Linked DNA regions of Cricetulus griseus. Each later gene encodes a partner of the first gene's protein in a complex. Links are inferred from orthologs where the notes say so. Each region holds a gene or a part of one and is shown in the gene's direction. Other genes may lie near its edges. The genes, in order: Ctnnd1 and Ctnna1.

What was found.
Region 2: Ctnnd1 (region 1) and Ctnna1 share a complex: the UniProt entries of both Homo sapiens proteins name them as parts of the cadherin:catenin adhesion complex. The link is inferred for Cricetulus griseus from reciprocal best matches to the Homo sapiens genes CTNND1 and CTNNA1.

The regions. Positions count from the first base shown.
Region 1 is NC_048599.1:90,912,202-90,916,009, forward strand, and holds part of Ctnnd1 (catenin delta-1), read left to right. Parts: intron 1-360; coding exon 361-432; intron 433-1,950; coding exon 1,951-2,103; intron 2,104-2,510; coding exon 2,511-3,046; intron 3,047-3,808. UniProt on the Homo sapiens protein: Key regulator of cell-cell adhesion that associates with and regulates the cell adhesion properties of both C-, E- and N-cadherins, being critical for their surface stability.
Region 2 is NC_048595.1:202,375,281-202,379,812, reverse strand, and holds the start of Ctnna1 (catenin alpha-1), read left to right. Parts: upstream 1-1,658; 5' UTR 1,659-1,807; intron 1,808-4,532. UniProt on the Homo sapiens protein: Associates with the cytoplasmic domain of a variety of cadherins. The association of catenins to cadherins produces a complex which is linked to the actin filament network, and which seems to be of primary importance for cadherins cell-adhesion properties.

The DNA.
Region 1 (3,808 bases):
GGGGTTCTGTGCTATTTATTTTAGCAAATGGCTTTTGAATGCTACTCATGTGGCAAGCACTGTTTCCATAGGGATACATCCTTAATACTACTGACCTCAAACCCTGTGTACTCATGGAAATTAACATTCTATGTTCCAGAGACTCTGTCTGCCAGAATTTTAGGCCTGATTTCAATGTTGAGGAAAGTGGTAACTTAACATTAAGGAATGCTATGGGTCTTTTATGAAGACTGACATGGGATTTCAGGACACAAACACCTTCTTGAAAGCCCTTTTTTTTCTGTTTGGAAAGAAAGATGTTTGTGTTTGAAAGAACAAAGGAAGGCCAGAAAATGAATTGTCTTGTGGGCTATGTTTCAGAACGGCCGGTTTATGGGCGATGCTGACCTTGAGAGACAGAAATTTTCAGATTTGAAACTCAACGGACCACAGGTAATTGTTTTGACTCAAGGTCTGTATGACTTCATATCTTTTTACTTCTTCAGTCTTTCTTTAATTTAGGAAAGTAAAAGGGTGCCTTCCAAATTATATAGTTTTGTTGATTTAAAAAAAAAATCAATGGCTTTTATCATGCTACTCCTGTCTCTTCATTTGATCCTCTGGTATTACAGTTTTTTTTTTTTTGTCGGGGAGAGGGGGCATAATTCTACGTTATAGAAAACCTTACCTAAAATCTTGACTGGGTAGTATCTGAAAGGTTCAGGCATTATGCTGGCCTGCCCCTGTTACCTGGTGGAACAGGCAGTACCCTGGTCAGCCCAAGGTTCCATGGGAACTAAGTTTGCACGCAGGTGCAGAGGACCCCTTTAAAAGATAAGTCCCTGCCCCCTTTACGTGCTCTGTGCTCTCTGTTCTCCCTCCCCCCCCCCCCCCCCCCCCCCCCCTCCCCCCGCTCTACTCTGTCTCCCACCTATGCTCTCGCTCTGTCTCTCTATGGCGACCGGCCGTGGCGGTCAGCCATTTACCCTGTTCCTCTTCTTAGTCTCCCCATTCTGCCGGGCCTTATAATAAACTTATAGCCTTATGTCTCATGTCTCAGCATTTCTCTTTTCTTCTTTTTAAACAAAGGAATAACAGTATCTGATGAATAACATGAAACTCTTGCTGGGCCTGGTGTATTAGTTTAGTTTTATTTTTATTTTTCGAGACAGAGTTTCTCTGTGGCTTTGGAGGCTGTCCTGGAACTAGCTCTTATAGACCAGGCTGGTCTGGAACTCACAGAGATCCGCCTGCCTCTGCCTCCCTTGAGTGCTGGGATTAAAGGTGTGTACCACCAACGCCCAGCTAGTTTTTTTTTTTTTTTAAATCTTGAAAGATTTTTATTCTTGAAGCATTACTCAGATGTCGAGGTAACAGTTAACACAGTTTATATTCAAGTAGGTGACCAGAATGGGAAGATAAATCTGCTGTTTTTGCCACTAGAATGCCAGCGTGGTTTTAGTTACCTCTTTGGTTTTTTGGGATAGGGTTTCTCTGTGAATCCTGGCTGTCCTGAAACTTGTTCTGTAGACCAGGCTGGCCTCTAACTCACAAGAAAACTGCCTGCCTCTGCCTCCCTTGAGTGCTAGGATTAAAGGCGTGTGCCACCAATGCCTAGCCTAGACCTGTTTTTATATCAGGGAAATTCTATTTACTGTCCTTTACACAAGTTATTTATTTATTGAGATAGTCTCTCACTAGGTAGTCCTGGCTGGCTTTGAATTTGCAATTTAAATTAGGCTAGCCTGGAATGCTCAAATATGTCTGCCTCTTGAGTTCTGGGAATGAAGGTGTGCACTACCATGCCCTGCCATTTTACAAGTTTAAAAGATGACAACCACTCTTGCTAAAACTGAGGCTAGTTGGATTTGCCTGAAGACTTCTTGTCTCTAGAGGCATTAATGTTTCTTATTAGGATGGATCATTACTGCATAGTTCTAGTTGTGGCTTTACTCTTTTTCTCTCTCATAGGATCACAACCACCTTCTGTATAGCACTATCCCCAGGATGCAGGAGCCAGGGCAGATTGTGGAAACCTACACAGAGGAGGACCCTGAAGGAGCCATGTCTGTTGTTTCTGTGGAGACCTCAGATGATGGGACCACTAGGCGTACAGAGACCACAGTGAGCTGAAATTTTCATGTCTTAGAGTGATAGGTCCTCTGTGATCTTTTAGTAATGAGGTTAACCAGGTAGATGGGTGCAGGTCACTGATTGCCAGAAAGAAAATGATCACTGGGCAAACAGAAAAGGTAAAACAAATGTAGGAAAATGTAATGGAAGGGGGAAGAGAAGGGAGTATGACAACTATAATAGTTGCCCAAGAGTCTGTTACTGACAGGAGAGTTTTCTCACTTAAGGGCTTTTGTGGGATGGAAAAAAGGTATTGATAACACACATGAGACATTTCTAGGTAAAGATCTAGAAGGTAGGGTTTCTTTTTTTTCTTAGAGTAGTGTGGAATTTAAACTTAGATTCTTCATTTCCTTCAATAATTGCTTTTCATTTTCTCATTCATTCCTTAACTGAAGGTCAAGAAAGTTGTGAAGACAGTGACAACACGGACAGTACAGCCAGTCCCCATGGGACCAGATGGACTGCCTGTGGATGCCTCATCGGTCTCCAACAACTATATCCAGACTTTGGGCCGTGATTTTCGCAAGAATGGCAATGGGGGCCCTGGTCCCTATGTAGGGCAGGCAGGCACTGCGACCCTTCCTAGGAACTTCCACTATCCTCCAGATGGATATGGCCGACACTATGAAGATGGTTATCCAGGTGGCAGTGACAACTATGGCAGTTTGTCCCGGGTGACCCGAATTGAGGAGCGGTATAGACCCAGCATGGAAGGCTACCGGGCACCAAGTAGACAAGATGTCTATGGTCCCCAGCCCCAGGTTCGAGTAGGTGGGAGCAGTGTGGATCTACATCGATTTCATCCAGAGCCTTATGGGCTAGAGGATGACCAGCGCAGCATGGGCTATGATGACCTAGATTATGGCATGATGTCCGATTATGGCACTGCTCGTCGGACAGGAACACCTTCGGATCCTCGACGACGCCTCAGGTGGGCAGGAATAGGGGAAGAAAGACTTTCCAGATGGGAAAGGCATAGAATTATCTTCTAAGCTTTTTGGGGTCAGTGACACCTTTGGATACTGGTTCCTTTCTCTTTTTCATAGAAGGCTCACTGAATGTTGATTTGCTCTCTTTTTCTTTCTTGTTATTAGAGTCATATTTTAGTTATACTAAGAGATTTTTTTGTTTGTTTGCTACTGCTTTTTTGAGATGTCTAAGTGGCTCGGGCTATCTACCAGTCTGGCTAATGTAGTAGAAGATGACCTTGGACTCTTGATCCTCCTTCCTCTACTTGTAAGTCTTTGGATTACAAGTGTGTGTCACCACAGTTGGTGAGAAAGTGATTTGTGGCCAGGTGTGATGACTTAACGCTTGTAATTCTGCTGCTGAGGAGGCTGAGGCATATGATTGCATTTAAGTTTGAGATTGCTTTGGACAATTTACTATATGAACATTTCTGTATCCCCAAAGTGATTAGTGATGGTTACTGGTCTATGTCCTAAAGACAGAAGAGACTTGGTTGCTATGCCATAATTTCTGCCTAAGATTTGGCTCCCTTTTGGTGAAAGAGAAAGGAGCATTACAGAGAGTGTGAGTGTTCACATTCTGGTTCCTGAGAGCTTTTTTTTGGGGGGGGGGTTTCCAGACAGGGTTTCTCTTTGTAGTTTTGGAGCCTATCCTGGCACTCGCTCTGGAGACCAGGCTGGCCTTGAACTCACAGAGATCTGCCTGCCTCTGCCTCCCGAGTGCT
Region 2 (4,532 bases), on another chromosome or scaffold:
ACTAGGTTAGCCTCAAACTCACAGGGCTCTGCCTGCCTCTGCCTCCTGAGTGCTGGGATTAAAAGGCTGTGCCTCCTTGCTTGTTAAAGTCAACTCCGTGGTGGTGCATGCCTTTAATCCCAGCACTTGGAAGGTAGAGGCAGGTGGATCTCTGAGCTGGAGGCCAGCCTGGTCTATAAAGCTACACAGAGAAGCCCTGTCTCGAAAAGCCAAAAAAAAAAAAAAAAAAAAAAAAAAAAAAAAAAGAGAGAGAAAGAAAAGAAAACATTTAATGGAGATCCAATTTCCAATTACCTTTCTAGAGGTTTAGTCCATGGTGGGAAGCATGGCAGCATTCAGGCAGAAGGATCTGAGAGTTCTTATATCTTGATCAGCAGGCAACAGGAAGGAGTCTGTGTCCTGGGGTTAGGTTGAATATAGGAGACCTGAAAGTCCCCCCCCCCCAGTGACACATTCTCTCCAATGGGGCAACGAACCCACACCCAGTAGTGCTCTTTGGGGGGCCACTATCTTTCAAACCACCAGAGTCAAAACCCCCAAACTAGAAACAAAAAGCATGTAATTGGACAAGAATGGCCTTTTTTGTTTGTAGTGCTGAAGACTGAACCCAGGGCATAGTAGGCATCTCCAAACCACTTTTCCTAGAATTAAAATTTATTACTTTGTGTGGGTGAATATGCCACCTGCACCAGGGTGGAAGTCAGAGGTCAACTCTGTGGCCTTCATACTCTTAGTACGTCATTGTTGGTAGAGGGCAAACATTTTTACCCACTGATCATCTCTCTCATCTGCCCACTCTTTAAGAGGCCCCAAACCAAGTGTAATGGTGCAGGCCTATAATCTCAGCAGCTGGGAGGTGAGCAGGAGAATCAAGAGTTTAAGGCAAGTTGGCACTGGCCACCCAGCCCTGCAACCTGAGTTCAATCCCCAGGACCCACATGGTGAGAGAAAACCACAGATTATCCTGATTTGTACACAAGCACAAGCTTTGTGCCGCCCCTCGGCCCAAATGCAAAAAAAAAAAAAAGTTTATTCTTGCCGACATAGCCAGTTCAAGACCAGTTTGACCTACGTGAGAACCTACCTCAAAAATAAAACTAAACAAACACCAAAAAACAAAAAAAAAACCCGAAACAAAACAAAACAAAAAACCGTTCTGAGAATCGGATTCCCGTTCCACTGTGCCGGGAGATGTGGAACGTTTACTTGGAGTTGTTTCTCTTCGGGTAAAGCAAGGAGTAGGCTGCCCCCTTTTCTGGGCGCCTTGGACCAGGGGACAAGATGACATTCGCCACAGGAGTGAGACCAGCAGGACCCCGCGGCGTCACGCTGGTCCCGGGACGTCGGACGGGGCGGGGCCTTCCGGGGCCGCGCCCCGAGACTCACCTGAGTTGGGAGCGGTGACTCACCTGCCCTCCGCCCGCCTTCCCCGGCTGCGGGCTGTTCCGTGAGTCGCCGCCCCTCCTTCCCGTCGGGGGTCAGGCTGTGCGCGCCCCGAGGCCGAACGAAAGGGACTTCTGGGGGTCCCAGCCTGGAGTTGCCAGGCTACCATCCCGGAGGGAGGCTCTTCCCCGAAAGCGCCCGCCGCCGCAGGCCGGGACGAGCGGTGTGGAGGCCGCGGGAGGCGCTGGGAAGAGCGCGCGGAGGGAGGTGCCGGGAAGGGCGGGCGGGCGCGGCGCGGGGCGGGCCGGGGGCGGGAGCGCAGGGCGGCCCATTTCCTCCTGGGAGCCGGACGGGCGGGAGACAAAGCGGCGGCCGTCGGCTTGGCGCCTCAGGAGTCGTCCTGCGTTCTCCTCGCTCGCCGCAGGTAAATCTTTGTGCCTCCCCTCGGGGCGCGCGCGGGGCCCCTGGTGGGCCGAGGGTCTCCGCTGGCCGGGGTCCGGGTGACGGCGCAGGCAGGCTCTGGGCGGCCTCCGCCCTGGGGAGCGTCGGGCCAGGGCGGCTTCCCGGAGCAGCCTGGGCCTGGGCGGGCGGAGCCCGACGCTCGGGAAGCGGAGCTACCGCCGCGGCGCCTTCTCGGAAAACTTTCTCCCTCTTTCTAAACTTTGTTCCCCGAGCAGGGCGCGCGCTCGCGGGACGGGCGTCGCGCCTCGGGCCGCCTCCCCCGCTGAGAGGCGACCTCGGAGTGTCTCTGGCGTTCCGGCGGTGGGGTGTTTTAAGGGTCGCGATTGTTCCCTGGATTTGTGCCGGCCGCGCCCCTCCCCCCTTTCTCCCCCTCGCTGAAAGTTGGGCGTTTGCGGGGGCCAGAGGTCGGGGGAGCTGGCATTCCAGTCCGACCCACGGAGTGTGAGAGCCGTAGCTTCCTGCTCTCCAGGGCTCTTGTCCTTTAAGGTGCGCCACACCCGTGTGAACCTGTGGCAAGAAGTTGTTAATCTTTACTTTAAAATTACTCATCCGCGTTCTCTGCCTGACTGGACTGACTTTACACCCAGTTTTCAGGAGTGGCGTTAGGGTCTTGTTACTGACCTTGTGCTACCGAGGGCTGGTCTTGCTAAGTAGCCCAGGATGGCCTGGAACACTCGGGCTCCCTGCCTTAGCTTCCCGAGGGCGGACATTGCAAGCCTGCGATGTCAATGCCCCGCCTTCCTTTAAAAGGAACTTGTTAATGTGTGTAGAACTTGGAGGAAAAATGTTGACTGGATGGGTAGCCTTGGATTGCAAGCAGTGGCCATCCCAGTAATTCAGTTAGCAGTTGGCTCAAATTGACGGTTGATACCCTCTTAAGTTCTTCGTCTTCATAACATTTTTTGTGTGTTTTGTATAGAATGCACAATAATTTATAATGTAAACTCATGCATACATCACTGTATTGTGTATGTGTATTGTATCTTTATGATAGGTGTTTTTGAAAAGGATATTTTGTGTTTAACTGATTCTTAAAGACTACAGGTGGTTGTTACTTTAAGAAACGGAGTTTGTTTTAGTTTACAAAAGGATTGAGCGGGGAAATCATTCGTAGCCTCTGCTCAATTGTTTATACGTCCTGATTCAACTAAGTCAGAAAATAGGTTTTAAAATTACTCTTTGTTTGAGGATCAGAAGTTTCTCTAGTGTCGTATCCTTTTTTTTTTTTTTCCCCTCAGACTGGCTCTCACTATGAAATCCACGCTAGCTTAAGCTTCTTGATTGTTGGGATTCAGACGTGTTCCATACGTAACACCTGTCTGGGTCAAATTTGTGTATAATGCAAACAACAGAAATTCACAGATGCTTGGAGTGTTAATACGTTTATAAGTCTGGGAGTCCTGGAAGGTGGTGGCTTTTGAATTGGGTGAAGCACGAGTTGAAGTCACGTGGCAGGAGAAAGTAGGGGAAAGGCATAAAAGGGCATGTAAGTGTGGGGAATCTGATGTTCTGTTTTTTGTTTTTTTTTTTCTTTAGTTTTCACTCCCTCCCTTTCCTGCATGTAATCTATCCTGAGAACATTGGTTTTCAGCACCAGTTATATAGTACCACCTCCATTCCCATCAGAAACATTTTATATATTGGTTAGAGATGAGGGGTGTCTTTTTTCCTAGTTGAGAATCACTGCCTTGTGCCTTCTCTCATCAACCCCCCTTTCTGCCCTCTGTGGTGTTGGGGAAACAAACCTAGAGCCTTGTATATGCTAGTCAAATAATGTACCATGAGCTGTACAACCCCCCTTACCTCTGCCATCAACCTTAGCTGCTAACGTCCCGCTCCTTTTTTTGGGTTTAGGTGTCTCTCTTGAGCCACATGGGTCTCCTTGTATATCCCACGGCTTCTCAAACCATATCTGATGTGAGACTTAATTCTGTTTTGGAGATCTCAACCAGATGTGGAGAGCCAGAGTAACTGGTACGAATGGTCTTGAATTCTTTTAAAGTCACATTACTGACAGCACAGATAGCCCTGCTTGTTGAAGGTGGTGATAGTTAAGTGTACTGGCTAAAACCTAGACCAGAATAAAGGAATAGGGTCCTTAACAGATGTATATAGCCTGAGCATTGGCACAGTATTTGGAGGACTAGAGGTGTAGAGATGATCTTTGTATTATGAGTACTGAAATAGGGAGGTTTAATAAGGTGGTCAGGGAAGGCAAAGGCCAGGTCACAGATGGCTGTGTGTAGATTTTATTCTAAAGCTGTAAGAAGCCATTCTAGGGCCTTCCATGATCTGAGCAGCTTTTTATTTTTTGTTGGTGCTCAGAGATTTGAATTCTTTCGTGTCTAAAAGCAGGGAGTTGACTGAGGAAGGTAATGTGGATAAAGGTGATCAGGATGAATGGAGTTGTATTTTGGAAAAGGGGGTAAAGATTGGTTTGGTGATGGGGTGTAGGCCTCTTGATAAAGTTTTTTTTTTAAGCATTGAACTCTCAGTTATGTCTCAAGATCTAGTGTAGCACGAATTCTAGCAGTCAGCTATCAGGCTGAAAGCTGAAAGATCACAGCAGCAGAGCAGCCTGCCCCTAGAGAGTTCTCACCTCCACCAGTGCTCAGACTGCATCCTCAGACTGCTGCATGCTGCAGACTGCTGCTGCCTCACGCTGCCATGAGCTCCTGTCTCCTTCT